Regions from separate parts of the Mus musculus genome. Here all the other regions are reported to be linked to region 1. The links are microRNA targets in miRTarBase. Many come from high-throughput screens and were not tested one by one. Region 1 holds a microRNA gene; each other region holds the end of a gene's coding sequence.
What was found. Region 1 holds the annotated microRNA mmu-miR-1943-5p (AAGGGAGGAUCUGGGCACCUGGA, at 5,151-5,173, shown strand). A microRNA usually pairs through its seed, bases 2 to 8, with sites in the 3' UTR of a target mRNA and lowers its output. Matches are read on the target gene's strand: a 7mer-m8 pairs with bases 2 to 8, a 7mer-A1 pairs with bases 2 to 7 and ends in A, and an 8mer does both.

Region 2: miRTarBase lists Prrx1 as a target of mmu-miR-1943-5p. Seed matches in the 3' UTR shown: 7mer-m8 at 2,890-2,896, 7mer-m8 at 2,894-2,900 and 7mer-m8 at 2,898-2,904.
Region 3: miRTarBase lists Cmtm3 as a target of mmu-miR-1943-5p. Seed matches in the 3' UTR shown: 7mer-m8 at 1,708-1,714.
Region 4: the mRNA of Ryr2 is a reported target of mmu-miR-1943-5p. Seed matches in the 3' UTR shown: 7mer-m8 at 5,702-5,708, 7mer-m8 at 5,698-5,704, 7mer-m8 at 5,694-5,700, 7mer-m8 at 5,690-5,696 and 7mer-m8 at 5,686-5,692.

What each region holds. Positions count from the first base shown.
Region 1 is chr15:79,373,324-79,380,443 of GRCm38, reverse strand. It overlaps Mir1943 (microRNA 1943), which reads left to right and starts at 5,144; the gene lies at 5,144-5,216. It overlaps Tmem184b (transmembrane protein 184b), which reads left to right. Exons shown (of 9, transcript NM_172608.1): 2 at 1,731-1,980; 3 at 3,232-3,397. The coding sequence starts at 1,789. It overlaps Gm52190 (a long non-coding RNA gene), which reads right to left and starts at 1,748. Exons shown (of 2, transcript XR_003951550.1): 1 at 1-1,748.
Region 2 is chr1:163,242,455-163,249,574 of GRCm38, reverse strand. It overlaps Prrx1 (paired related homeobox 1), which reads left to right. Exons shown (of 4, transcript NM_011127.2): 4 at 1,179-4,456. The coding sequence ends at 1,317. Among named protein-coding and RNA genes, the nearest start is that of Gm20471, 34 kb to the left of the region's middle.
Region 3 is chr8:104,345,917-104,353,036 of GRCm38, forward strand. Cmtm3 (CKLF-like MARVEL transmembrane domain containing 3) reads left to right here. Exons shown (of 5, transcript NM_024217.3): 5 at 816-1,756. The coding sequence ends at 850. Cmtm4 (CKLF-like MARVEL transmembrane domain containing 4) reads right to left here. Exons shown (of 4, transcript NM_153582.5): 4 at 2,275-7,120. Among named protein-coding and RNA genes, the nearest start is that of Cmtm3, 8.9 kb to the left of the region's middle.
Region 4 is chr13:11,548,679-11,555,798 of GRCm38, forward strand. It overlaps Ryr2 (ryanodine receptor 2, cardiac), which reads right to left. Exons shown (of 105, transcript NM_023868.2): 104 at 6,753-6,804; 105 at 4,425-5,933. The coding sequence ends at 5,838. Among named protein-coding and RNA genes, the nearest start is that of Ryr2, 550 kb to the right of the region's middle.

The DNA.
Region 1 (7,120 bases):
TGTCTTCAAGTTGTAGAGAAGGGGTCTCACACCAGGGTACTGATCCCTTTCATGAGGACTCTACCCTCCTGACCTTCCAAAGACCCCCCTCCTAATGCTGTCACTGTGGCTGTCAATCTGGGGCACCACACTCCTTAAGAGCATTCTGATGCTCCTGGAAAGCTTTGTTCTTGGAAAGTAGCTCTAGTCTCTGGCCCAGCCTTGCCCCAATTTTCAGACATGTGGTGGGTACCTGTCAGCAGCTCTCCTCTGGGCTGCGTGAGGATGACGTCTCCATTTCAGATGGGACCCTAGCTCTGTCTAGACATAGAAAGGCTTTGTTTCCTCAGAGATGCCATCTTCCCTTGGTTTCGCTTTCCCACCGGAAAGTCCCTTGACGTTCCTCAGTTCTGCCATGCTCTTGTGTGGCCCACCTCACTCACCATCTCTGGAGATGCAGATCGAAAGCTGGTAATGAGGCTGAGCATTAGAGATCGCTTGGCTGCTGGACTTGGTGCTGGAGATTCAAAGATGAGAATAGGGGACTTACTGCCTCTGAGCAGGCAGGAAGAGAGACCCGTGGACCGAACGCAGACCCTGTGTTCCTTAGAGAATAGCTAGGGCATGTGAAATGGCCTGGAGTATCCGGTTGGGGAAGTGTCTGGGCAGGGTTTTGGGAAAGTGGATTCCTACATTGAGTTAGAAGATGATTTCTCTGAGGTGGGGGTGGGGCGGGGGCAGAGATAGAGTACTTTCCTGGCATGTGTGAAGTCCTAGGTTTTATAGTTTGAAATTTGAAGATAAGCCATAACTTTATGTCCCAGATAGCACAGCTGGGACCCGAAGGATTGAGTGACTGTTAGCCATTATGGAAGTCTGAGAGAAATCTCAAAAGCCAGGCCCTTCAGGTAGATTCCCATAGCAATAAAACAGCTTTGCCAAGCCTGACAGTGGTGGAGCACACCTTTAATCCCAGCACTTGGGAGGCAGAGGCAGGCGGATTTCTGAGAGTTCAAGGCCAGCCTGGTCTAAAGAGTGAGTTCTAGGACAGCCAGGGCTACACAGAGAAAGCCTGTCTCAGAAGAACAAAAACCAAACAGCAGCAACCACAAGAAAAGCCATTCTGTCACATCAGCGCAGCACAGGCCTTTTATCCTCACTCACTGAGGATTTGAACTCAAGGCCTGCCTAGGCTATACATAGCCTCTAAAGGAGGGTGACAAGGGGCTGGCGAGATGGCTCAGTGGTTGAGAGCACTGACTGCTGTTCCGAAGGTCCCAAGTTCAAATCCCAGCAACCACATGCATGCTCCGTTATGAGATCTGACGCCCTCTTCTGGAGTGTCTGAGGGCAGCTACAGTGTACTTACATATAATAAATAAATAAATCTTGAAAGAAAAAAAAATAGGAGAGTGAAAAGAGGCCCATGGGACAGTTCCGTGTGCCACGTGAGGACTCCAGCTTGTGGCAACAGTACTTAGGGACTGGCAGGGTAGCAGTGGTCAAGCTGTTGTTAGCAGTTGTAGGTCAGCACTCTTCTGTACCCTGCTTCCCAGCCATGTTCTGGCCTCCTAACTTACTATGGAAGATTGAGGTGACAAAGGTCTCAGAACATCACAGGCCATTGTGTATTGGCCCAGAGATGCCAGGGCAAGGGCTGAGCAGGGGCATGGCTAGGCCCATGATGCAGACCTGGAAGGGTTGTTCACAGCACACCACCGCTCGCTCGCTTATTCCCGTTTCTTCCCTAGGCCAGCCCGTCACTCACGGCACGAGATCCTCTCAGGGAGCCTGCTGCTGCTGGGAACCATGACAGTGAGGGGGGCCGCGCTGGCCCCAGACCCAGCGTCACCCACAACCACAACAGCTTCACCTAGCGTCTCTGCCACCCCCGAGGGCAGCCCCACAGCCATGGAGCACCCTGTGTTCCTGATGACCACTGCCGCCCAGGCCATCTCCGGCTTCTTTGTGTGGACAGCTCTGCTCATCACTTGCCACCAGGTACCTTGGTGTGATGGGGGAACATCCTTAGTGTCCCAAGTGGTTTCTAGTTCCACAAAGGATGCTTCAGGCCGGCCAGGCAAGGAGCGTAAGCCCTGCTTCCTGGGGTTCTCTCCCGCACCCCAGCTCCCCTGCAAGCAGGTGGTGGCTTTGGATTCACCTCCAGTCCAGTAGCAACTGGAGCATCGGGATTGTGAGGAGACACACAGATGCTTGTCTGCTACGACCTGCTCAGAATCTGCTGGCCACGCACATATGCAGCCGAAGCCACGGAACGGTTGCAGTTAGACATTATTGGGAGCCTGAGGGAGGTGGCTGAGGAGCTGGTGGCAGCTCAGGAAGAGAAGTCAGGTCTCCTGTTTCCTGTCCTTTCGCCCTCAGGGGAGGTTGGGTGCCCAAGGAGGAGCTTGCTGGATTCCCATGTAGAGGGTTGGATGAGTCTGCTCAGGCCCCTGGCAGCCCCTCACCAGCTGCCGTGCATCTCAGTCTCTTTCAGATCCATTAGTGGCCAAGGAAATTGGCTCACAGCGGATGGAAATGTTTTGTCCTTTTCCTTAGTCAGGGCTGGCCTGGGCTGGGCCAAGAGTGATGTCATGAGAGTCGGGCTGCGCCCTTAGCTCTGCTTCCCCAGAGTTGCACTGCCTTCTCCTGCCTCCCTGGGGATATTGCAGTCAGTGCTGCCTTAGTTCAGCGGATTGGGCATAGTGTGAGCACACCACTATGGCCACACAGCCTGGAAGTGTGTCCAGGTCCTCCAGAGGGAGGCTCTCGAGTACCCCACCCTCTCTAGCATCTGTGAAGGGACAAGGCAGAGTGGCCACAGCCAGGTGGCTTCAACTCGCCCTTGATCAGCCCTTCAGCTAACTCAGTGCTGCTGCTGCTGTGAGACCTTGGGAACTTGGCTTTGGGGAGGCAGAATGACAGGAGCACACATTGAGGACCGCAACTTCAACAACACTGTGGCCCTACTGTCCCCTGTAGCTGAAGGTGGCCTGTAGATAGTGTCACACCGGCTTTATGTGGTCACTTTGATTGGACTCTCACGATGGAAGGTTTGTCATCTAGTTTTCCAGAGCAGGATTGAGGCTCAGGGTGGGTAACTTGCATCAGCCCATAGAGCAAGGAAGGGTAGAGACAGATGTCAGGAGCCATCCTCTTCCCATGGAGCAGGCAGGAGGAAGAGGGCAGACAGGCAGGTGGGAGGCAGCTGTGGTAGTAGTGGGACTTGGCTGACTTAGTGCCCTCCCTCAGATCTACATGCATCTGCGCTGCTACAGCCGTCCCAATGAGCAGCGCCACATCGTGCGCATCCTCTTCATCGTGCCCATCTACGCCTTCGACTCCTGGCTCAGCCTCCTCTTCTTCACCAATGACCAGTACTACGTGTACTTCGGCACCGTCCGAGACTGCTATGAGGGTGAGCACACCTTGGAGCGGGGCTTGGGAGGAAGGTTGGGGAGTGGGGGCCTTGGGGCCAGGGGGGTGCACATCCCTCGTTCATCTCTAGGACCTGAGGCTGGCACGTCATTCCTCAGTCTCTCAGGAGCCTCTGGACCAACCTCACAAGGATAGATCTGGATCCCTCTTCCCCACCTGGCTGTCCATCTGTCGCTAATGGACGGGTAACCATCCACATGTAACCCAAGTCTCTGCTTACAGACATGGTTTGGTTTGGGGGATCCCAAGACGCCTTCACAGATGCCTCGAGGCAGGAGCTCTACCTCTGATTCGTTTATTTCTCATCTCTGGCTTCTCTAGCCTGGTTGGCAACTTCTAAATGATCCATCTATGGATAGGAACCATGGGTATTGGGGGAGGATTTACACAGCTGGCCTGCAAGCCCATGTGTCCCCCTGTGATGCTCTGTTACGCCTCAAAGGAAAGGACTGGCACCCCCTCCTTAGCGCCTTCTGACACATTCCCCCTTATTTCTGTGTCCCCTACCACAACCTCTTTAGGAGACACATCAGCCTCCACCCCAGCTCAGCAGTAGGTAGTTCCTCGGTGTTAGGAGCTGGCGTGGTCTGATTTTCCAGCCCCGAGTGGGACTGACCCTCATCTTGTCTCTTCACCAATGTCATATCCTTGTCCCTGCACTGTCTGTTCCTTCAGTGGATACAGCCCTGAGAGGAGGCTTCACTCCGTGGGAACAGAGCCAGGCACGTGACAGCACTATCCCCTCCCCCTTTGAGAGAAGATCTCATGTAGCCTGGGCTGGCCTCAGACTTTTTGGTTAGTGGGGAGAGCAGGGAGCAGGTATCAGTGTCTCATGCTATATCTCTGACTGACCTGGAGCTCATAGAGATCGGCCTATGTCTACCTCTTTAGTTCTGGGATTGAGGTGTAACCTTATAGCCTTTGTTTTTTTGTTTTTGTTTTTGTTTTTCACGACAGAGTTCCTCTGTATAGCCCTGGCTGTCCTGGAACTCACTCTGTAGACCAGGCTGGCCTTGAACTCAGAAATCTGCCTGCCTCTGCCTCCCAAGTGCTGGGATTAAAGGCGTGAGCCACCACTGCCCAGTGTGACCTATATTCTTTGACTCTCTGTCTACCTTTTATGTGTATGAATGTTTGCTGGTGTGTATGTATGTCTGGGCACCGTGTGTATGTAGTGCCTGAGGAGGCCAGAAGAAGGCTCTGTGAACTGAAAGCCAGGATGATGCTCTGGAAGATCAGCCCATGCTCTTAGCTGCTTAGCCATCTCTCCAGCCCTAGCCTCAAACTCCCGTGCCCCTGAAACATGGTTTCTCTGTGTAGCCCTCCCTGGCTGTCCTGAAACTTGTTCTGTAGACCAGGTTGACCTCGAACACAGATATCCTCCTGCCTCTGCCTCCCAAGTGTTGGGATTAAAGGTATATGTTACCATACTTGGTTTTATGTGGTGCTGGACATGGAACCCAGGACTTTCTAGAGGCTAAGCAGGCACAAAAATACATCCCCAATCTAGTCCGTGTGTGTGTGTGTGTGTGTGTGTGTGTGTGTGTGTGTGTGTGTTGGAGGAATGAGGGGCCCTGCCCAACCCTTCTGTGGGGCTGCAGTTGACTCCCCAGTACCGTCCTCCTGGCCAGTGCTCAAAAAGGTTCCTTCCAGGAGAGAATATGGGGAGGCAGGTGTTCCACTGTGCTTGATATTCCTGAAAGCAGAAAACCCCTGGGGAGCCTCTGGCTGGGAAGGGAGGATCTGGGCACCTGGACCAGCTCCTCCCTGCAGGTGCCAGCTCCTCCCTTCCCAGTCACCAGGACCAGCATCTGCTCCCCTGGTTCTTTTAGAAACAGAAAGTTGTTTCTTGCTGCATATGTGTCCTTGTCTGTGTTTGTGTGTGTGTGTGTGTGTGTGTGTGTGTGTGTGTGTGTGTGTGTGTGTTGGTGTCTGTGTGTCCTGTGTAGTCTAAGGGCCCTGAAGATAGGACCTGTAGTACATGGGGACACAGGAGGGGAGCTACCAGGCGGTCCTCACTCAACAACACCCCAGAGTAGCAGCACTTCTGAAGCCCCTTTGTTCCTCCCACCTGCCCCAACCAGCTCCACCACCAGCTCAGGAAGTCTGCCATCCATCTCCTAGCAACGCTGTTGTCTCTGGCCTGTCATCTCCCAGGACATTTACAAACAGAGCACAGCACCTGACCCTCACTCTCACCTATCCCTTCTGTATTTCCCCTTAGATCTCTTGTAACATACCTAAAAAAGCACACACACATGCACGCACAGGCACACATACAAACACGTCTCTTATCCTCACCATGCTGGGGAACTAGACTACAGTTTTCTCTAGGTGTGCGTTTAGAATGTGCGTTTAAATGCTGCCCAGAGCTGAGCCTTGCACTGCGCTCCCTGCCCCCTCCTCTTTTCCTTTCATTTCCTTTGGTTTGGGGCAGGTCCTTATGCAGCCCCTTATGCAGTGCGTGCACTCCTGCCTCCACTCCTGAGGGCGGTGCTTGCAGCCCTCTGTCCTTTCTGTGTAGAAACCTGGGCTTTGCTACTTGTCTTAATTTGGGGTTTGCTCGGTTTTCTGTGCTTATCCCTCACTTATCCCTGACCACTACAACCGAGTTTTAAATAACCAGTCCCGCTTTCCGAATGGCGGCCCTGTGTGAATCTGTTAGCACTGGCTTTGCTTTGACCAGGCTCTCTGCACTCAGCACTGCCAGCTTTCAAGGCCACCTCTGCTGTCACCCAGGTTGCCAGTCACAATCATTCTTAGACCTGTGTTGGCTTCCCCTGTGCTGTGTGGGTCACCTGTCCCTGTTTCTCCTTCATTTGTGGTTTGTTCTCTCTGTTAGTTGGGGCTCATCTTCTACCAGGCTCCTGAGAAAGCTGCCCATGGGATGCTGGTAAGGAAGCCTGAAGTGTCTTTAGTGGATGGCTCTGTGATTGACATCTTTCGGAAGGGACTACACCTCAAGGGTGGAAATTGTTCTCTGGGTCCTGCAGGCTTCTTCTCACTGCTCCTACTGCTGCCTTTAGGGAGTCAGCTGGATTCTGACCCTGCCTAGCTGCTTGCATATTTTTTTAGGCTTTTAAGATCTTGCTTTCAACCTCAAAGTTCCAAAACCTTACTAAAGATAGAGTAGTGGTCACTGTGCCGGGGGAGGCCTTGTGGGCGTGAACCCCCGACTCAGGGCCTGAGACCTTTCCTTGTTTGTGTCTTTGATATTTTTCTTTAAGGTTAAACAATTATTTAATTGTTTAAATTTTATTGTTTAGTTAGCAACCTGGCAAGGACTGAGTTTCAGAGATACTGGGTGCCTGTCCTAGGATGCCCTGGCTCCATACAGCACCCATCTGATGAGGGCTGTGGTTCACACCGAGCTGGGATAGACCACGGGGCTGGGGTGTGAGCTGATCGCCGCGGGTTTGGTGTCTGATGGGCTTGGGATGAGCTAAGAGCCTGAGAGACTGGGGGGCCAGAGTTGGAGATGCAGCGTCCTCTGCTCCCTACCACATATTTTGTTACAAGAGTTTGTGTGGCGTTCACAGCTTACCCCAGGTTCTCCCTTATCATTAGCACGTTCTTCCCTCCCCCAGGACCAGGGCGAGTGTGCATCGCACAGCCATTACGCAGTGTGAAAACGGGGCTGCCCAGGAGGACCCAATGGTGACAAAGCGCCAGGCACCTGCCTGCCTGGGTCTTTGCAGCCAGG
Region 2 (7,120 bases), not on the chromosome of region 1:
CCAGATAAAGATTAAGGATCTAGTCTCTCTAGCTTTAGGTTTCCTTCTTTCTGATCTTGTCATCTGATCCCAGAACTACAAACTCCAGTGTCACTGACAAAATCCCATTGGAATGCAGGCACCAGAACTGAATATGTCATTCCATTTATAAGCCCTATCCCAGCTCTCTGTTGGAAGAAATTTTACTAATCTTAGAAACAGCTAGAATCATTCTATTTATTTCAAAGTTTCCTTTTAACTATTTCACATAAGGTAAAAGATTATTTGCATCCACATTTACACACCATTTTTTCCATTAAAAGAGATTCATGTATGGAACGAATAGAACCCCAGTAATAATGAATTCTTGCCTATGTCCTAGTTATAGTTTCTGACAATCATCTAGCTTCTTGTTTCTCCAAACAACACAAATAGTGAGGAACAGTTACATCTGAGATCAAGAATGGTAAAACTATAACTTGGGAAGTTTATTTTGAAATTTTAATATTTCCAAAATGACTGTCCCCAAAGGTAATGTGTGCTAGTCAAATACCTTTGAAAAGTTATTAAAAACAAAACCCACTGATAGGAAAGCCTTGACTTGACAATGCTTGTTACAATCATCCAATGAATCACAATGCCAGAGGAATATGATGGGTTGTTTAATAATTCTATAAGCACATATAACCATTTCTATAATCTATAATCATTTTCTATAGTATTATTGATTATCCAAAATACATTGGAGTCCAGGTCAATTTCCTAGAATGAAGAAGCAAAATTCTTTTTATCCACTGTCAAATGCTTGCCATTTTCCTTCGATGGTTTCACAGGTTATCTGGTATAGGTAGGAAAGATTAGACTCTGAACTAGCTGATGAAACTCCTGCTATTTGACATGAGCAGTCTCCTCTTACCCCTGAAATAAATCATTACTCACTGTATCCAACACAGCAAAAACCTTTCCCTACCCTGTCTCATTCTTGTCTGCTTCCCCATGCCCTGTAAAAAGATGGACACCCTTTTCCAAGGACCTTAAACTAATTGAAAACTGGAGCTGTAAGAGACCCCGAAGGTCCTCTCTTTACCCCACTGCCCTGCCTGCCTCTGTCCTGAGAGTATATCCATCCAGGGCATGGTCTTACAGCTTCATGAAACTAATGTCTGTTATTCTCCCTGCTCTCTCCTTTGTCCCTACAGCGCCATGGCTACTTATTCTGCCACATGTGCCAACAATAGCCCTGCACAGGGTATCAACATGGCCAACAGCATTGCCAACCTGAGACTGAAGGCCAAGGAATATAGTTTACAGAGGAACCAGGTGCCAACAGTCAACTGAGGAAAAAAAAATAATTAAACAGGCCTAAGAAGAAATCAAAAACCATAAGACACCTATCCTGTTCTGTCATATCTTCATCCGCCGGGGAAAAAAAAATAAAAGCAAACAAACAAAGCCAGAACTAAAATATTGGGACCATGGCGGAGCAAAGCAGGAGAGGAACAAAATGAAAATTAGTTAACAAATGTTTCTTCTTGCTCTCGGATACCTACCATCACCATTTGCTTTTGTGTGTGTATTTTGTTTTCCTTCTATCCATGCTTAGCTAATTATACTCCAGGCTTCTTCTGTTAGGCTCAGCCCACCCATTCCTATAATTGTATGAGAATAAAAGAAATCTCCAGCAGCCAAAGAAATATATATATGAGAAAGATCACTTCTCGGTAACCTGCTTGACTTCAGTGCCTTACTCTGTCTCCTTCCAAGTCTCTCTAGGAGATTTTTGAAAATCCAAAGTCTTTCTGAAGAATCTGTATTATTGTGTCCATGTTGGTCATGGTAAGGTTTTTCTATCAGTGACAGGAAAAAAATAAATGTACGCATGTTCTGGTCACTGACCAGTCTGATCAATGTGGTTGGTCATGTCTGGTGTACTCTAAGCTCTAAGCTCTAGGTTATGATGTCACCGTTAACCCTACCCCTTACCCAACCCAAACAATAAAAGATCCTAAGTTAAAGATACTCATCGTTTTTAAACAATTGTTTCACTTGTTCTTTGGTAGAAGAAATCCTTTCAGTTTTAGAGATGGAAAAAAATTTTGTAGGAAGAAAAATACTGAGTTGTGAAAGGCATAGTCTATATTTCTTTGGTGCCTTAGAGGTGGTCAGATGCACACTTTTATATATACATATATATGCTGTATATATTTATATATATTATATATAAAATATTGAAAGCTTGAGTTTGCAGTTTCTCAAAAACTATAAAAGCAAACTCTCTGCCATCACCACTGCCCTTATTTACACAATAATTATATGTTAATGCGGCATCTTGTTTTCATAGTCTATATAAAATCCTCATTAAGGTCAGAGAGCAATTAGCCAGGCAGCTGTTTGAGAACAGCTTCCATTTTTATGTTAGGGCTTTAATAAAATTAGGAATTATTTGATGCTATAGAGTTGACCTTGAGTTTGGACTCTGATCTTGAGTGTAAAGTCTATATCATCTGACTTATCATGAGAAATACAGTTGGAAGGGTGAGGGAAGACAGCACTCTTTCTCTACTTCATAGGAATATGAAAGACAATATGTTGAAGTGAAGTGTTTAAAGCCTTGCTTAAATTTTAAAAATTAAATACAATCATACTCTTACATTTTAGTTGTTTTGAAATGAGGTTTAGCATCGAGGGTGGGAGGCAGAGCTGGTATTTCTTTGTTTCTCTTTGTTCCCAGCTTTGCTTTGGCAATTTTCCTGGTGAACTTGACCAAACCACGTTGCCATGCTGTGTCTAGTTTACCTGTTTATAAAATGGTTTAACAATTCCTACCTCACAGGGATGTTGTGAGGCTACATCCATTTGTTTTCTCTCTCTCTCTCTCTCTCTCTCTCTCTCTCTCTCTCTCTCCTCTTCCCTCCCTCCCTCCCTTTCCTTCCTTCCTTCCTTCCTTCCTTCCTTCCTTCCTTCCTTCCTTGTTCCTGGTTTGTCCAGCACTTTGTAGCCGTGAAAGGAGAAGGGACATTAAGAGCATACAATATTCATGGATTAACACGGTATTTGAAAGCTTTGTTTTCTAGTAAGGAAATGGTATCTGACTGTACATAAATATAACCTTCTATTTGGAAATGATAAATAGGTTTATATTTTCAAATATCTCAACAATAACATCATTTGACCAAAGAATAATTTAAGGCACAAAGTATAGAGATATTTTTTAACTTATATTTTCATCAACAGCTCGATTTTATTAACCATAGTTCTCAGTGAATGAAAATCTTCAGAGTGATTTTGGCCAAATATGTCAACATTGCAATATGCGTGTCAGTCAAAGTATTTGGCGTATAAGATTCACTTTTAGCACATACTTGTTCTTCCCTTGGCATATCTGGCTGTGTTAATGGTGATTTTTTTTCCCCAGTCTAACAGGCACCCATCTGAAAATATATTTCAAGTGATTTTGTACTTTGTTCAGTAATAAGAAGGAAGATCATCTTGTGTACTTTGATCTCATGAAGTGATTCCTTCTCAACAACTACTATTAAAGCATTTCTTTCAGAATAGTTTATGTGGTCTGGCTTAATATACATTACTTGTTTTTATCTCCACTCATGTATTTGTCCCATCGATTGCTGCGTGTTATCACATTTCAAAAAAACCAGTACATCCTTATTGTAAAAATGTTTTTTGATTTGTAAGTGAGTACAGGTCCAAGAGACTGGTAAACCGGGAATTTAGCGTTTGTAGAGAATAGCTTAAATATTTGGATTATAGGCAAGGAAGAGAAATTATAAATGAAAAGTGTTTTCTAAGGAGAGCAGAATCTTGGAAGGCAGTTGTTGGAAGTCATCTGAAACCTTCATCCTGGCATCCATTTCCAGTGGACGTCAAACAAACCTGATCCCATAAACTCAAAGGAGGAAGTGGGATGTTGTGTCTGATGCTTCGTACAAGCAGCTTCGCGGAATTTCACAGAATAACCCCTGCTAGTTAATCATAGGAATGTCTGCAGCTGGTAGACCCACAGCACAGCAGCTTTATCTGAGCACGTACCAGGAAATACACCTGAAGCACTGACGCTCAATTTTGTTCATTTGTGGTAAACTTTGTGAAAGAATATAAGTTTAACAAGTGGTTTGGAGGGTTAGATATCTAGCTTGTAAGTCAATTACCAGAGGAGAGTCTCAGTGTCAGACTCAAGGCATATAGCTACTGCGCTCCATCAATATACCCAGATGAAGGCATTAGAACTATCAATGTCCACACTCCCTTACCAAAGAAGAGGCCAATTAGTTCAGCACGTGGGAGGTTAAATTAAACCAGAAGTAATGACCTAATTACAAAAAAGGGAATGGCATATGGTAATAAAGATCTCATAAGAAATGTAATATGTAAATTATATCTTGCTTTATGATGTAAAATATACATTGTTTGTGCTAGAATAGAAATGATTTCTTTTCAATAAAATGAAAGAGTGATAATACAATGTCTTTTGTTATAATACACTGGACTCAGATGATTATTTTCGCTTTCAACTTCCCAAAAGGCAGAACTGCTTAGATTCAAGAAGACACTGAGAAACATGACAGTAAGAATGATTTATAAGCAAAATAATTTCCTATCAGAGTGTCATCCCCAACCCTTGGTTTTAATGACATAAAAATTAAGTATTTTAAGCAATCATTGTGCACGGCATGGGTGGGTGACAATAAAGAGATTAGAAAAGCCACATTGTGAGAAACAAGTTTTTCTATAAAAGGAAAACAATCTATTTTAATTCTGAAGCAAAAATAGTGGGAGGAAGAAGGAATATCTGTATTTATAATGTGAAGATCAGGATAGAACTTCTGGTAAAAATGTAGCAATTTTACCAATACTTTTAGCATCTACAGTACTAGTTACAGTATGACAAATTGTCTGTATATAAGACACAACCTTTTGTTTTAATGACATCTAAATGAGGCATTTTTAAGCAATCATTGTATGCAGCGTGAGTGGGTTACAAAAGAGAATAGAAAAAAAAACATAAGAAACAAATTGTTTTCATACCAATTAAAATCTAGTCAAAAAGGCAACTTGAACACAAACAAGTTCATGCAACAATCCAAGAAAATCAGTTAATAGTCATCAAACAAATAGAGTAGATAGAATAATTCCAGAAGAGGAGGGAGGGGGAGGAGGAGGGGGGAGGGGGAGGAGGAGGAGGAGGAGGAAGAGGAGGAGGAGGAGGAGGAAGAGGAGGAAGAGAAGGAAAGGAAGGCAGGAAGAAAGAAAAAGAGAGAAAGAGAGAGAAAGTAAGAGAGAAAGAAAGAAAAGAAAGAAAGAAAGAAAAGAGAAAGAAAGGAAGGAAGATAAAAAGAAAGAGAGAGAGAAAGGAAGGAAGGAAGGAAGGAAGGAAGGAAGGAAGGAAGGAAGGAAGGGAGGAAGGGAGGAAGGGAGGAAGGGAGGAAGGGAAAGGAAAGAGAGAAAGAGAGAAAGAAGGAAGGAAGGAAGGAAGGAAGGAAGAGACAGACACATAGGCAGACTAGGTTAAGAGGATTTTGGTTTGAAGTAGTGTGGGAGGAGAGAGTAAGAAGAGGGGCAGCAGCAGAGAAACAGAGGATGGAGTGAGGCAAGGATGCAGACAGTAGGATTCACGGGAAGATGAGCCTGGGTGGGATGGAGAATTTGTTTGGAAACTAAGTAGAAAAAAGACAAAAGACATGAACTTTTCTTCAGGCCATAGGGACCCATAGAAGGGATTTTAAGTAGAAGGCAGGACACTTTTTGTAAAGGGGCAAATATATCAGAGAGTAGTGCAAACACTGGGAGGTAGAGGTGCCCTAGGAGGATTTAAAACCAAATGGCATCTAGGGAGAGTCCTCCAAAGAAAGAATCAATAGGGCTCCCTAGCATGAAGAGAGGGGCCCTGAAGACAACACTTACTGAATCCTGGTGACTCAGAGAACAAATCATCGACCAAACTCATCAAAGTCACACACACACACACACACACACACACACACACACACACAGAGAGAGAGAGAGAGAGAGAGAGAGAGAGAAGCTGAGGTTCAGTCAAAGGGAAAGAAGGCTGCAGTCTTTGTTATATGGTTGAACCCACCACTCCAAATGGAAGCTCCCAGTGAGTGAAGACACAAAAGTAGGACTGAATATTGAGGTCAGGGACACAGTGAATAGTTTAAAATGACAATTTGGCATACAAATATGAATGCTTTTTTTCAAGATGGGAAACTGCCCTGTAGTCAATAATTAATTTTAATAACTGACTTTTGGAAGTAGTTTCAACATGGGGATAAATATTGTGCTTTGAAGAATTGCTACAGTGGGAAAGAGGTCTCTGGAATTCTGATTCTAAGAATCTGTTTCAGAAGGATGGAAACTGGTTATTATCTGAGAGTTAAGACGAGGTGCGTTTTAATCCTTGTCCATTAGGAAAACACATGAAAATTACAGAGGCACCACCTTCTCTCAGTGACAAGAAAAAACAAAAACAAAAACAAAAAAAAAAAAAAACAAAACGAGTGACAATTGCTGAGGAGAATCCTTTGTGGGGAGGGTGAAATTCAATATAGAGGCTCTGCAGAAAACTCAAAAGAGAACTTCCATATAAACTGCAGTAAACATATAATTTTTTTTTCCATTTTTTATTAGGTATTTAACTCATTTACATTTCCAATGCTATACCAAAAGTCCCCCATATCCACCCACCCCCACTCCCCTGCCCACCCACTCCCCCTTTTTGGCCCTGGTATTCCCCTGTACTGGGGCATATAAAGTTTGCAAGTCCAATGGGCCTCTCTTTCCAGTGATGGCCGACTAGGCCATCTTTTGATATATATGCAGCTAGAGTCAAGAGCTCCGGGGTACTGGTTAGCTCATAATGTTGTTCCACCTATAGGGTTGCAGATCCCTTTAGCTCCTTGGCTACTTTCTCTAGCTCCTCCATTGGGAGCCCTATGATCCATCCATTAGCTGACTGTGAGCATCCACTTCTGTGTTTGCTGGGCCCCGGCATAGTCTCACAAGAGACAGCTACATCTGCGTCCTTTCAATAAAATCTTGCTAGTGTATGCAATGGTGTCAGCGTTTGGATGCTGATTATGGGGTGGATCCCTGGCTATGGCAGTCTCTACATGGTCCATCC
Region 3 (7,120 bases), not on the chromosome of region 1:
CTAGTTGGTTAGATTTAGGGGCCACCAGCTTCCCACCGGGAGTCCCAGACACTGTCTCAGTGCTAAAAAATGAATACCATCCCAGACTCATTTCTGGTCTGTTAGTTAAATGCTCCTGGATGCTGTCTGCCTTCAAGCCTTTGTAGCAAATGTTGGTCAGCCAGCTCAGAGACCAGAGCATAAATGTCCATGAACATACATTTTGAATATTGTATGGTTTTAATGTAAAATAGTTGTTTTGCAATAGAAGGATCCTTGGCCTATATGTTAAATATGAATATAGCAAGCCTATCCTACTTGTACCTCCCTGGCTAATGGATAAGGGGGGAAGAACCAGGGCTCGGCAAGGGACAGGACAAGTATCAGAAAACAGCCATAGCACTGGGGACAGGCATTAGAGTGCAGTGCTTTGCCTCGTGAGGCAGACAATGCCAGAATCATCCTTATACATAGCCAAACCCATAAAATAGCTTCGCTTGCCCTATGGTTCTGTGTATTTCAGTTCAGGGATAAGAATTACTGTCTTTGCCTTGTCCTCCTGAATAAGAGTGGAGAAAGGGGTGTCAGTGTACAACTCTGCCATCCTCAGGGGAGAGGGGATGCCTGGGAATGCCTGGGCCACCTGGGAAGGAAGCATCTGTGCTGTGAGCTAAGTAGAAGGGCCTGATCTACCCTATGTGTGCCCCAAGGCCCAGCCTGCCACTAGGATGGGAGAGGCCGGACCCAGGTCTCCTGTTGGCTGGCTGGCTGCTGGTACCACCACCACTACTCCACAGCCCAAGGACTGATAACCGCACCCTCTGCTTTCCTTTCAGAAGAGAACTCCAACTCGGACTCAGACTCTGACTAAAGGCCTGTCTGAGCTTAACAACTAGAGCCACTCGGCCCTCTCACCCACGCTGTCCTGACGGGGCTCCTGGAGCATGGCAGGAATGCCCATGGGAGAACAGACCGAGGAGCCCGTCTCTCAAGATTACACTCCCGAGGCCTCACATTCAAAATTGGCTGTGCTGGCTTGGCACTGCTGAGCTAGCGTGGTAGGGCACGTTGACAAGCCTTCCTTCTCCCCTTTCTGTCCTTGAGCCCCTTTAACCTCACTGCCCCCACCGAAGCACACATCAAACGGAGCCAATCACTACAGCCAATCATGTGGCAGCATGGGGGTGGGGTGGGACTTTCTGTTACTAACAGGGACAGATAAAACCACAGCAGGCTGGACCACCAGCCCCAAACCTGCACTGCATTGAGATGACTTTCAGGAACCTTTTATTCAAGAAGTTTCCCTCCTCACTGTGAAATAGGGAGAAACCTAGCTAGCCAAGTCTTCCATTAGAGGTCTGAGGCCTTTTCAGAAACGGACCCAAAGATTTGTTTACTAGGGCCCAGAGACAGGGAGCCAACCAGTATAGTGGCAGTGACCAAGTCACAAGTGGCTGGGCAGGCCCAGCCAAGCACTCTCTTCCTGGGGACCCTAAAAGACAAAGTGCTTCCTCTGGACACCTGGGCAGGACCACTGGTGACATGGACTTCTCTGTAGTCCCTTGGGGGCGGTTACTGTGTGTGTCTTTGATGGTGTTTTCTAACTTTTTTATATTTTTTTAATACAAAAACAATGTAACAAATGGTCTTTTCTGTAACCTAAGAGGCCCCATGAATAAGGGCCCATGTCTTGGGCATTTGTAACCTTTTTATCTTGCATGTGAATTCCCTCCCTTTAAAAAAAAAAGTCACAATGGATTAAAACAAACTGACTACATGCTTGGAGTGCGCCTGACTAAGAACTCACCACTGCCTGCAGACACACTGTGTGCCCGTTTCCATACAAGCAAGCACAGGAGTGCTGACAGCTCTGAACTCAGTTGTGAGAAAGCACTTACTGTGCTGGGTATCAGGGTGGCGGGTGACACTGCTGGTGCCTTTACTCAACCCCACGGTCGAGGCACTAAAGGGTAAGCATACATTCTCATTAAGATGGCGTTCTGCAACAGCCACAACGTGGGGCTCCAGGGTTTAGAAACTAGTTGAGCAAGGGACCTCAGAGCAGTGGCTACGAGGACATTCTGGTCATTGTCACTGAACACGCACTGAAAACAGGCGGGCAGTCGGATGCGCAGAGGCAGAGGGGCTGTGCAGTGCCACACAGCCTAGCAGGCTGGTCCTTCCTTCTCCAGCCGCTTACAGCCTGCTGACTGTGCTCCAGCTCGACCCACAGGGCAAGCCTGCTGCAAAAGTGGGACCCAAAGCCTCTGGGAGAGAAAGAAAAGACTAAAGCGCTTTTGTTTGTTTGTTTTTTTAATATGTCCATTTATTAAACAAGAACTCCTTCTTGACAATACAGTATTCATTAGTGATTAGTATTGAGAAAAGTATTTCCCTCTACATACAAAAATACAGATTTGAACAATATGAAAACAATCAAGACAAGTACCATGAAAAATTGGTCCTTCAAAGGAAAGTGGAGAGGCTGAGGGCAGGGTGAGGCTTTGCCTGCTGTCTAGCAAATCAACGGGGCAAATGCCATCCATGGCTCCCACATCATTTGCAGTGCACAGGGTCCAGCCTGGGGGTCAGGGGAGGTCCATCCATGGCGACAATGTCAGATGGGCCCAGATGGGAAACTCAGTACTGCAAACAACACAAATTCAAGGTTCTTAAACGGCCCTCACCTTGGAATTCCCATGCCAAACAACTTTAGCTAGACATGGTGGTCCACTTCTGTGTGCTATCCCAGCATTTAGGAGGAAGAAACAGGGGGATTGCTATAAGTTAGAGGTCAGACAGGACTACCTAGCAAGACCCTGCCTCAAAGAAAACCAAACTCAAGAAACAAAATGTGGTAACTATTAACATTGTCTCCCAAGAGTGCCACTATTAAATGGAGTGGCAGTGGCCAGTCCTGGCAGAAAGCTGTCATTTGGCCACATAATAACTTGTGTTGTCACAGAATTACGTTTTGACTCTTCAAAGGACAAAAATCACAGAGCTACAAGTTCCTACCTCAGAGGAGCCGTACCTTTACTCAGCAATGGCTCAGTGAGTTTTTCCTGACCAGACAACTCCATGGTGCAGGGTCAGGAAAACAGAACGGTGGCTAGGTTATCCTGTGCCCTGGCTTTCCCTAGCCCTCCACAGCACAGGACCTACTGCACTCAGGCTACCCAGAAACCCACCAGCGGCAGCCACAGTGTCACCTAAATCCAAGTGGGGCAAATCCCAGAGCAAGTCTGGGGTGCTGCCAGGACACAGCGGCACTTAGCCTATCTATCCTAGGAGACAGGGCAGACAACAGCCGGGACTGACTGGCTAGGGTGGGAGGGCCAGGAGCCAAATGCAAGCGCTCACTAGACCCAGCAAGCAGGAAGGTGGCACATGGTTGAAACTTGTGAAAAATGAGACCACTTTCTTCTCACTGTTGGTGAGCAACAGTTCTTCCAGTCTAACAAACAGTCAAACAGTGTCAAACAGAATTACAAGAACGAGACTTTTTTCAGAACTATCCTCTGACTTACTTCTCAGACTAAACCAGCAGAAGTGCAGTGTGGGAAGAACACAGTGCAAGGGACAGGACTTGCCAGAGGGGGTCGTTTTGAAAAATACATAGGAAGTTTAAGAGGAAATGGCCCAAACGTCAGGACCGATACTGTGGAAAGCAATATTGAAAGGACACAATCATGCTACAAAAATAGTGTTATCTGTTAACTAAATGTACATCCCCGCCCCAATTCCATGATTGACAAGAGTGCTTATGTGACACATGGAAGGCACCAAAGGTGAAGTGGTTATCTGACAAAATATACAGAAAAAGAACTGCCTACTTAGAAAGAAAAAAAAGACAGACAGACAAATAAATAGCTTAGTGTTTCTCCATGGGTTCCTAATCTCCTACGAACGTCAGCATACACAGACAGCTTTGCTCCCTAGCGTTCTTCCACATGGAACCACATCAAAACCAAGTTATCAAAAAGCAATGATTTTAGGCAAATGGGTCAATTTCATTATTATTTGAATTAGTTTTTAAATAAGTTATATATGAATGAAAACAATTGTTTTTCATAAACAAGTTATGAAAGAGTTGGAACAGGTAGGCCTGGGTTACAATACGCCTTGCTCTTGCCCTCTCTGCCCCTTGACCTAGCCAATTCTTTAAGCCCTGAATCACTGTACCCTTCAGTGCCATGGAAAGGGGACAGGGTTCTGGAACTTGCTAAATCAGTTCTGAAAGAACTGAAGCAACGCCCGGTTAGTGGAGGAAGGCAGCGTCCGGCAGCATCGGGCAGGCCCGCCCTGCCCTGCCCTGGGCTGGGGTGACCATGAGTCGTCCGGCAGCATCGGGCAGGCCCGCCCTGCCCTGCCCTGGGCTGGGGTGACCACGAGTCTTCCTTCACTGACCTTTCTCCAGGCAGATTCCTTGGGTAGCTATTCTGACGAACAAGGAGGGGCCAGGTACTTCCTGCTGGGTACCAGATGCAATTATGAAAGAAAACAAACCTTTTACCCCTGAAGTGGCTTCAGACACGTTCTTACCATAATCACAGCCAAACAAGTTCTGCTAGCTCGCCACAGTCCAAGTGATACTAACCACTAACCAAAGGCTCACTTGACTTAGAGTATCAGAATAAAGAGGGAGATGAGGTAAACTAATGACACAATACACTGTTCAAGAACCTATGGTCTAAATTTGATTCTGTGAGATGGCTTTGAACTCAATGGGCTTGGGTCCCTCCACCCCTTTACTCTTAGGAGGAAACTAGAATGGAGTGGGGGGGGAGTCCCAAAGCCTAAGAACTTATATCCAATGCTATACTGACCAGCATGAAATCAAATAGAACATTATCTTTTGGAAGAAAATTCTAGATCTAACACTGATGCTATTGTCTTTCAGAGACGATGTCTACATAAACATTGATAGGTCAGACATTCCAAATTTTCTCAACCAGACAGAACTGGTTATTTTAAAGATGTCTGCTGAGAAGAGAGAAACAATAGGTTTTAAGGAGTCAGAAAAGCTAACGAAGCCCAGAAAAGGGGTCTGCTACGTCAGCATCACCTGAGGCAGCCTGTCACCTGCTCTAGTCCTTTCAGGAGCACGAAAGACCTCACTCTTCTGAAGAGGGGGAGGTTAAGGACACGCTTCCAGGTCAGCAGGGGTTATGAACATATCAAACGCTATCTATGCCAACCCACTGCTGCCGCTGGAGCCTCCCCCACCACCCCCAGGCCTCGGTCATGCAAATTTCATGTGTCCACCAAACTAGACTCTGTGCCTAGCTAGCCCTACTATGGGGCTGGTGCTGACAAAAGCAGACAGCAAGAGGCACCTCAGAGTCTGCAACTTTATGAGGAACTAAAAGGTACCCGGAAACCTCACACACTAGAAGCAGCTTTTTTTTTTTTCAGCTCATGAGGATCAGTCAACAATTCTCTACATAGAAAGTGTATGCGCCCCACCCCCCCAACCCCTGCTGTTACCTGTTTAATGTCACTATTGCTATGTAGAGGACATCTTCAGAAAAAGACAGTTCGGCAGGAGCACACTAAGCATGGGACTTTTGTGTGCTCTGAACACAGATGCTGTCATCACTGGCACCACCTCCATCACTACAAGGATGGACACAAGTCTCCACGCTCCTCCGACTGACCCACAGAGACTCTGACATGGGCGGGGACGAATCCTCAGGCCACCTCTTAGATAGGCAAGAGATCTCCTCCAAACAGTACATGCAAATCCACAAGGTCACAAACAAGGCTAGCCAAGACTCATTCACAGCAAGAATTCACATACATGCAGGGACAAGAGAGTTAGGCCTTCATTTCTTCTAAGACTGACTGAACCAATAGAAAAACTTCAAAGATAAAGGAAACTTGAAAGAAAAAGAAATGTTTTCAACTGAATCATGAAATTCTCTCCAGAAGCATCCAGCCAGGGTGGAGGACAAGGCATACCAGGTCTGCCCGTAAGTCTTCCTGCCAAGAGTCCTAGAAGGGCCCTAGGGTCCCTCTCAGTGAGAAGTTCTCAGAGAGTGCTCAGAGGGTAGTCCATCCTTGCTGGCTCTGCTATGCCCAGGCTCTGCCCACACTGCTGTTTTAGCATATTGCTAAGAAGGATGTAGGCAGCTTACTGCATTCTTGCTTTGTCTGTAGACAAAAGCAATCTGCATTACATGGCTATCTCCTTAAGCAGAACTTCTCTGAAAAGAATTCACTACCTCACTGTGTTTGCCCTTTCTAGGAGCCAATACATATCTTTAGGTTTTCTTGACTGCAGTCTTACCCTCTGAGCCTTTGGCAGGGAAGGTAGAGAAGACTGGTACCTGGCATTCAGTCGAGATCAACAGGGCCAAAATACACTTTCTCCGAAGACAAGTTAATATCCATCAAGACTACCAAGTGCCAGAGGGTGTCAACCCCATGTCTCCACGAACACACCACATGTCCCCAACAACTGCATGTCTTGCCATGTTTTCTCCACCCAAGAAAGTGAAGCCATCTCCTCAGGAAATGGAGACGGTGAAGGCTCACGTACAATGCTCCAAACCTAAGCAAGCGGCACTGGTCCACAGGGGGCTTAATAAACACAAAAATATGCCTTTTTCAATTCACAGGGTTGCTGTACAAACCTCAAATCTATTACCTTCTGTTTGCACAGAGGCACAACAGGAAAGATACAGGTGTCTCTGCTTTCACTTATAGACAGCCATATTGTCTTCATGGCTTGTGCTCACCACACTGGCTGTAAAGGTGAGGGGCCTGTTCATCACGCTATGAGAGCATGTACAAGCCACTTCTGGCTCTACGGGAGCTAGTTAAATAGTACAAGGAAATACATATACAAAAGCCACGGGAAAGCTTCATAGCACAAAGGATATTAAATAGTAACCAAGATATAAATATTACAATGATTCTGTCACTAAGATGCAAATTGCTCTCAAGTCTCTTAGGCCCTAAGACACCACCACATTATCATTTATTGGTATTCATGGTCTCAATGGGTCTCAGGATCATTTCTTTCAGCCGACAACACTTCCTCAGAAGGCCTCCTTTCATCACAGGATAAAACGGGTTTATTGAAGGGACTTGGGAAAGCGAGCAGAAACCCCATCTGAATGCTTCTTTCTTCCGC
Region 4 (7,120 bases), not on the chromosome of region 1:
GTTGGTGGTTTAGTCCCTGAGAGCTCTGTGGGGTCTGGTTGGTTGATATTGTTCTTCCTACAGGGTTCCGATCCCCTTCAGCTCCTTCAGTTCTTTCCCCAACTCTTCCATTGGGGTCCCCAGGCTCAGTCTGATGGTTGGCTGAGTATCTGCATCTGTCTTAGTCAGATGCTGGTGGAGCTTCTCAGACAAGTGTTGGGCTTTGGTGTCTGCAGATGGGATGGATCCCAAGGAGCAGAGACTGAAGGAAAGTCCATCCAGAGGATGTTTTCATTCTCTCTCTCATTCTCCTCTCCTCCTTAGCCTCTGCAGGCTCCTAGAAATATATCTCCCTTCCTGTTTTGTAGGACCCCAAGAAGGAGCCCCCCCACTCAAGTCACGGGACATGGGGTTACCCAAAGAAACACGAGGGACCTTCTTGTTGCAAAAGCATGAGGTAGCTTTAATGGCAGAGCTCCGGGTCAATACGTATCTCACGCAGGAGACAGAGGAATCGACCCTGAGACTCAAAAATTCGGGGTTTTTATAGGGTAGGGTTTAGGAGCTAGGAAGAATTGGTGCGGTTACATACGATTGCCCATTCAAACATCAGCAACATGATTATGAGTCAGCAGAGTAGTATGTACAGGCTGGGGCGTATAAGGATTCTAAAAGCTGGGGGCTTATCTGAGTCGACAATGCATCTGGTTAATGTTTCAGCTTTTAACTATGCTCTCTATAGATAGGGGGGGCGAGCAGGAGGCGCCGGGCTGCCAGAGGGTCAATGAGTCAGCCAAGATAGTCAGAACCAGTTCCTGCATTCCTTCCCTCATCTTTACGACCAGGTGACCTAGTTTCAAGACGGACTCGGGCATGCCGGGGCTTGTTTTCTTTGCAGTCTCAGTCCCAGGCCTTTTTAGTTTAAACCTTTTATTTTATTTAATTTCCTTTCAGTTTCAAGTAAGAAACTGATAATATACATGGACAATTCTGATTGATTATGAAACAAAATACTAAAATTTAATACTTTCAGAAAATTTATGGGCATCTGAGATTTTATCTCTGCAGCAGCAGTGACCCACATTTTTCTGTAAACTATCAAGATCATAAGTGAATAAGAATATGCCTAGTAAAACTTATGATTTTGTTGTTTTTTTTTTTTTTTTTTTTTGTCGGAGACAGGGTTTCTCTGTGTAGCCCTGGCAGTGCTGGGCAGTGGTGGCGCACGCCTTTAACCCCAGCACTTGGGAAGCAGAGGAAAATTTATGATTTTCATGTAAGCTTTTTTTTTTTTTTTTGCTTATTTTTAGGTGGTGCATAATTTTTAATATAAGCCATAATTGTAAAGGAAACTATTTTTTATTGTGTTACCTCATTGACTCTTGTATTTAATCTGGACATCTTATTTTGTAAGACATATAGTCTTACTTAATACATTTTTTTCATTTTTTGCATTCCAATGTTTCTACCAATTATATTCTTTTTGTGTCTTATTACATTAGCAACGTACACCTATCACGGCTTGTGGAATAGGCAAGTTAAAACGTTTAGTAGTAAATAAAGCTCAGTTTAATTTCCAGGCTTTGAAATACAGAACATAGCAGAGGGGAAGTGATTCTCCCTTCCTGACATGAGCAAGGAAGCCAAGTATTAGTTTACTCTTTGCTATCAAACACCTCTGTGATTTGATCTTAACAAATTATTTGACCTTATGAAATCTTCTTAGTAACGTGGTCCAAAAGTTTTGAGAAAATATGAACTAAAACTGTTGAGGTTTGGTCTGTTGCTATGTTCTAGACCTACACGTGAATTCTCACATTTACCAGCTAATTTTGTGCAACCTTGTTCCTTAATTTAAAACTATTGGTTAAATAAAAATGTATATGGCCAGTTACTAGAGGGATTTGAGGTAGGTGGATTTTGAGTTACCTGCTTGGGGGTGGAGAAGAAGGGAGAAGAGAATGAGGAGGAGAGAGTAGAGGTACTATGAGAGGAGAGGTGGTACCATGAACACGTGGCCAGGAGAAACGGCAAGTATTTGGGGGTACACTGCAGGTGAGGTAGCTAAGCCAGCAGTTAGAAAAATAGATTAGGAGTGAGCACCCTAGTAATTGTCAAAGCCAAAGAAAATAACCATAGTCTGAGTCTCATTCATTTTTAAGCTAGTTGAGGATAAATTTAAATTGGTTCTACTATAAGAATCATGCTAATTATGATAAATGGTATAACCCCAACAGTAAAATAACTGATGGATAGTTTTGAAAACTAAATTTTCACTACAGAAATGGGCTCAACACCAAAGCAAACTGTCCAACGGGCATCCCTTATAGCACAGGGTTAGAATAGACTTTGTCTCTTCGTTCATAAAGAGTGTGTTCAACTGTACATACTGAAGCTGGTTATTCTGAATGCCCTGGGGGTTCCCTTGTCAGAAAAGCCAGAGTGGCAGAGTGAGCGTCAGTGGACATCACTGGTATTTACTTAAACATTTCCTAACTCTGCTTCCCCATGGAAGTCTATAAGGTCAGAAGGGGCCTGTGGTGGTTCACACTGGCCTGGTTGATAGAGGATAACAGGCTAATTACAGAGCTACATTTGGGCCTTTGATGCGATGGCTCTGTTTAGGAACTGGTTGTGAATGAAAACAAGCTGTATCTTGTCCTTGGAAAAACTGCCAGGTGTGCATCTAAGGAGGGCTATCACATTTGGAAAGCTTTTGCTAAAACCATCCATCTGAATCCATTCTGTGAATCATAGAGAAAATTATTTTCAGAAAGAAAAAAATAGATGAGAATTAATGATTTCTGTATGTGTTGAAGCTTTGTAAGTACCCAGGGTGACCATGATAGTGTTCCTGATAATGTCTGAATGGGTGAGATAAAATATTTCTGAGAGGATGACTATCATGCTTTGAATTTAAATGGTCCTCCAAAGGCTTGAAACCTTGGTCCACAGCTGGTCCTGTAGTTTTGAGAGTCTGTGGGACCCTTTGAACATGGATCCAGCTGGCAGATGTAAAGCCATAGCAGTCAGAGTTGATTTTCCTGCTTCCCAACCAGCTGAACTATAAACAAACCAGATAACAGCGTCTACCACTATGGATCTATTGCCACCATGCCTTCTTATCCTGATAGACTGGACCCCTCAAGCCACACCAGAATAAATCCTTTCTTCCATTATTTGTTTCGTGTCCAGTACTCAATCATAGGGATGAGAAAAATACCTCACAGGATCACATCTCCTGAGTTCGCCTCAGGCAGCCTAGAGAATCAGAGAGGTAGAGTCACACTGTGTTTGAGATTCCCTGAATATTTCCTAGGCAAATAAATAATGCTGATAAGGTTGAATTCCTTTTGTCTCTTTTAGACAGTCTCCCCCATCACAGGCTGACCTTGAACTCACTTGTGTAGCGTAAGGCCAGCCCTGGGCTTCCACCATGGTGTTGAAATTACAGGCATTGCACCCCTATAGTGATTTTACCATCTTCTGTTGGATGGTCTCCCAGTGATGTCCTGCTGTGTTGGTCAATAGTGATTGGACAGGTATGACTTGCACAAATAGCCCACCTGTGTTTTTACTTTTCTTCCAACACTGATGTGTTTGCAACACCCATTGGCTAACAGAACCCTCATTTCACCAATTCCAATGTCTCTTTTCCTGATATTTCTATCACCTCTGAGGAGCTGTCAGTCAGTAAAGTGCACAGATCTTGACAAATCTATGACTTTATTTCCTTTTTTTCTTACCTTTACTATTGTTTTGTGTCTACCACAATGTGGGCATTATAAATAGAAGATCTGAATCTAACTTCCAAATTTGTCTCAAATAAGAATGGTACAGGGATTCATGTTCTTTGATGTGTTAGAGAGCTGACCAGATCTACTGGCTCAGACTCTTTATGACATAAGGTCCCATTTCTGAGAAGGCTTGGTAGCAATATCTACAGTGTGCCAAGATTTATCTCTTCCCTCAAATAAAAGTGACTCCAAAAGAGAAACACAAAAGCCAGGTTCTGGAGCTCTGGTGATGTGATAAGACATAATTGAACAGATGATAACTGATAGCCCTGATGATCTAGCATCATCTCTGTGTTTTATGAACTACTTATTTATGGTCTACTTCTCTTTCCTATTAAGATATTAAGTGGGTTGTAATTATTATGGAAAAGTTCACTTGCCTGAGCAAGGAAGAGTTCTTTAAAGTGAAAGTTGTATGAAAATTTTAAAAGTGGGAAGAGAGTTAGTTGTCATTGAATTACCCCATAAGATAGAAAAGGGTCAAGGTGCCTGGTGAACCCAGCTCTCCTGTTACAAATACTGCTATGTTTGTCTGACTGTGAAGTGTCTGGGTTTGTCCTATACACAATTAAACTGAATTAAAAGCATGGGATTCTATAATTTCCTGGTATATGTGAAATAGGAAGACATAGGAGAAGAACAAGGAAGTTAGTTAAATAGTTTAATTAGAGCCGTTTTACAATTCTAAAATTAACAAGCAGACTTGTAATAAAAGATCTCCAATGTTCGCAGAATGACCTCGCTTCCATTCTGAACCTGTCTTTTTTTAATTGTAAAGATTAGAATTACATTTAAAAGGACTCAAAATGATAAAAAGAAAAGAAAAAAGAAAAACATAAAATGAATCGATGTACATGGTCACCCATGTCTTATGATGCAACCAATGAAATCTCTGAATGGATATTGCTTCAGCTTGGATATCAAAAGATGGCCTGTCAAGGCGTCCTTAACCAATGACTGATCACAGGTGGCCAAAAGAAAGAGGAAAACCCAAGACTACTGTCACATTGGCGATGGTTCCAACTGTCGGTGGATGACACTGACTCCAGAAATATGAGGAAGCCCACAGCTTTGTTACTACGGATGTAATTATCACGAAAGTTCTCCCATGTGGATCAACTTGTTTCTGAGGGCTTTCTTTGTTCATTTAAACTTGCATAATAAACATGCAATGAATTATTTCTTTTGAAAGTTGTATTTTTGCAGTCTCTTTTTTCATACAAAGATTTCATAAGTTGCCATGTAGCATCAGAGTCTTTACCAAAGTGGGGAGGGTAAATGTGACGTAGCTGGATGACAAGAGCCTCCTTCTGTCCTGAGACACACCACCCTTCTTTTGAAAATAGCGCAGATAGCTTTTCTTACCCTCCTCCACCAAAGAAAAGAATAAAAGGGGAGAAAAAAGAAAGAAACCAAAATCACAAAACCATTTTATCTAAGAAAACAAGGTTGATGTAAAGAAAATAAAGGTGTTTGTCATGCACATTATCTTCTGCATAGCTCAACCCACTTATAGTAAGGCACTATTTCCCTTTGCATGGCAACCTGTTAAGTGCTACAGTGCTCTATGACCCTCAGACACTTCCTTCTGGGATGGCAAAATAAAGAGCCTGGGTGAGTGTGACTGCCGTGCTTGGCTGCACAGGTCTGGCAGCTTGTGGAGACTCCATGACCCTTCAGGGGAAGCTGTCCATGGGTGTTATGGTAGAGTATCCATGATGAATTCCTTTCCAGAGTTCCTGGTTAGTCTGAATGCTTATTTGGATTGTTCTTCGGTCTTTGTTTCTCAATGAAGATACATGAGGTGGGGGGAGAACAGTCAGGTCCTCTGAGACTGAGCATCCGTGCATCAGCACAAGATGCTGGTTAGTGGAAAATATGAGTAGGTGTTTCCAAGGTGGGGGGGGAGAGGGAGGGAGGGAGGGAGGGAGGGGGAGAGAGAGAGAGAGAGAGAGAGAGAGAGAGAGAGAGAGAGAGAGAGAGAGGAGAGACTGAGATAGAGAGAGAGAGAGATTGAGAGAGAGATTGCTTTTGGTTTTCAGAGACAATCAAGGTATGATGCTAATTTAACTGGTCTTCATACTGTTTCCGGAAACAGTCCCCTGCTGGGAAAAATTCCCAACACCTCTCTTGGTACATCTTCCAGACGTAAGATTCCTGTAAAAAAGAGAAAATAAGTGTGTTAACCCAGTGTCCAAAATCTATTAGATAACACAGGACAGAGTAGAAGAAGTCATTCAACCCCATTGATATATCATTAAAACAAGAAAAGTCCCATTGCATTCAGATAGCCCCACTTAAATTACCATCACTAATAAATGATCTTCAAATAAACAGAATGTCTTTAGCTTGACCAATATATGATAACAACATATTTTTAAGTCTCTAAGGTTTACATTTATTATGATTTTTAATTTTATCCAAGTTCAAACTATTATCCATTTATAGTGAGTAACCCAGAAGGGGAATTTCAAATTTTCCTAAAAAAACATAGACATTGAATGTTTTTTTCCCAATTATAATTTTGTAAGTGGAAGTTTATTTGAAAGTATAAGCCACACAATAGCCACAATCTTTAAAGAAGAAAAAAGATTGAATTCACAAGGAAACTTAGTATTTTTAGTTAAAAGCTTAGTTTTAAATGTGAAATTAGAATTTTGCTGTCTCTCTCCAGGTAGCATAATTAATATCTAAAAGCAATGTTTTTTCTTTTTCAAATCAAATATGTATGTCTGTGTAGTTATGCACTGGTGAGCACAGGGCTCATGGGGGCCAGAAAAGGAATTGGATCCCTGGAGCTGGTGTCACTGGTGGTTGTAAGCTACCCCGTGAGTGCTGGGAAACACCAAGTCACCTCTCGAGCCCCTGAAAGTAAATTCTTTCCCTTAGTGTTGAATATCTACATGTTGCTGTCTTATCTACACTCTTTTCCTACAGTTTCATCCTGATGATGGTGTATAACTGGCCTTCACCCACCTGTCCTGTGTGTTCTGTTTCATCCTTGTTTATGAGATACATCAGAAAAAACCTACAGACACAGAGAAAGTGGTCAGCAGTGGACGACATGAAAATACTAGCATAAGCAGAAAAGAGGCTGACATCTGTCTTAATTGCAATGGATTATGAAAATGGAGGAAACACCACAAATTCAATTTCTGAAAACTAATTACAATATACCAGAAAGAAATAAGCATGTTCTCTGAGATGGCCTGTCTAATTTCACACACAACTTTATATCAAAGTTATTTAAAAAAGAAACCACACACACTGAGTTTAATTATGTGGCTGGGGCTGGTTGGAACTATGGAAAGTTCCATCCACCTCTGCCTCCTCATTCCTGGGAT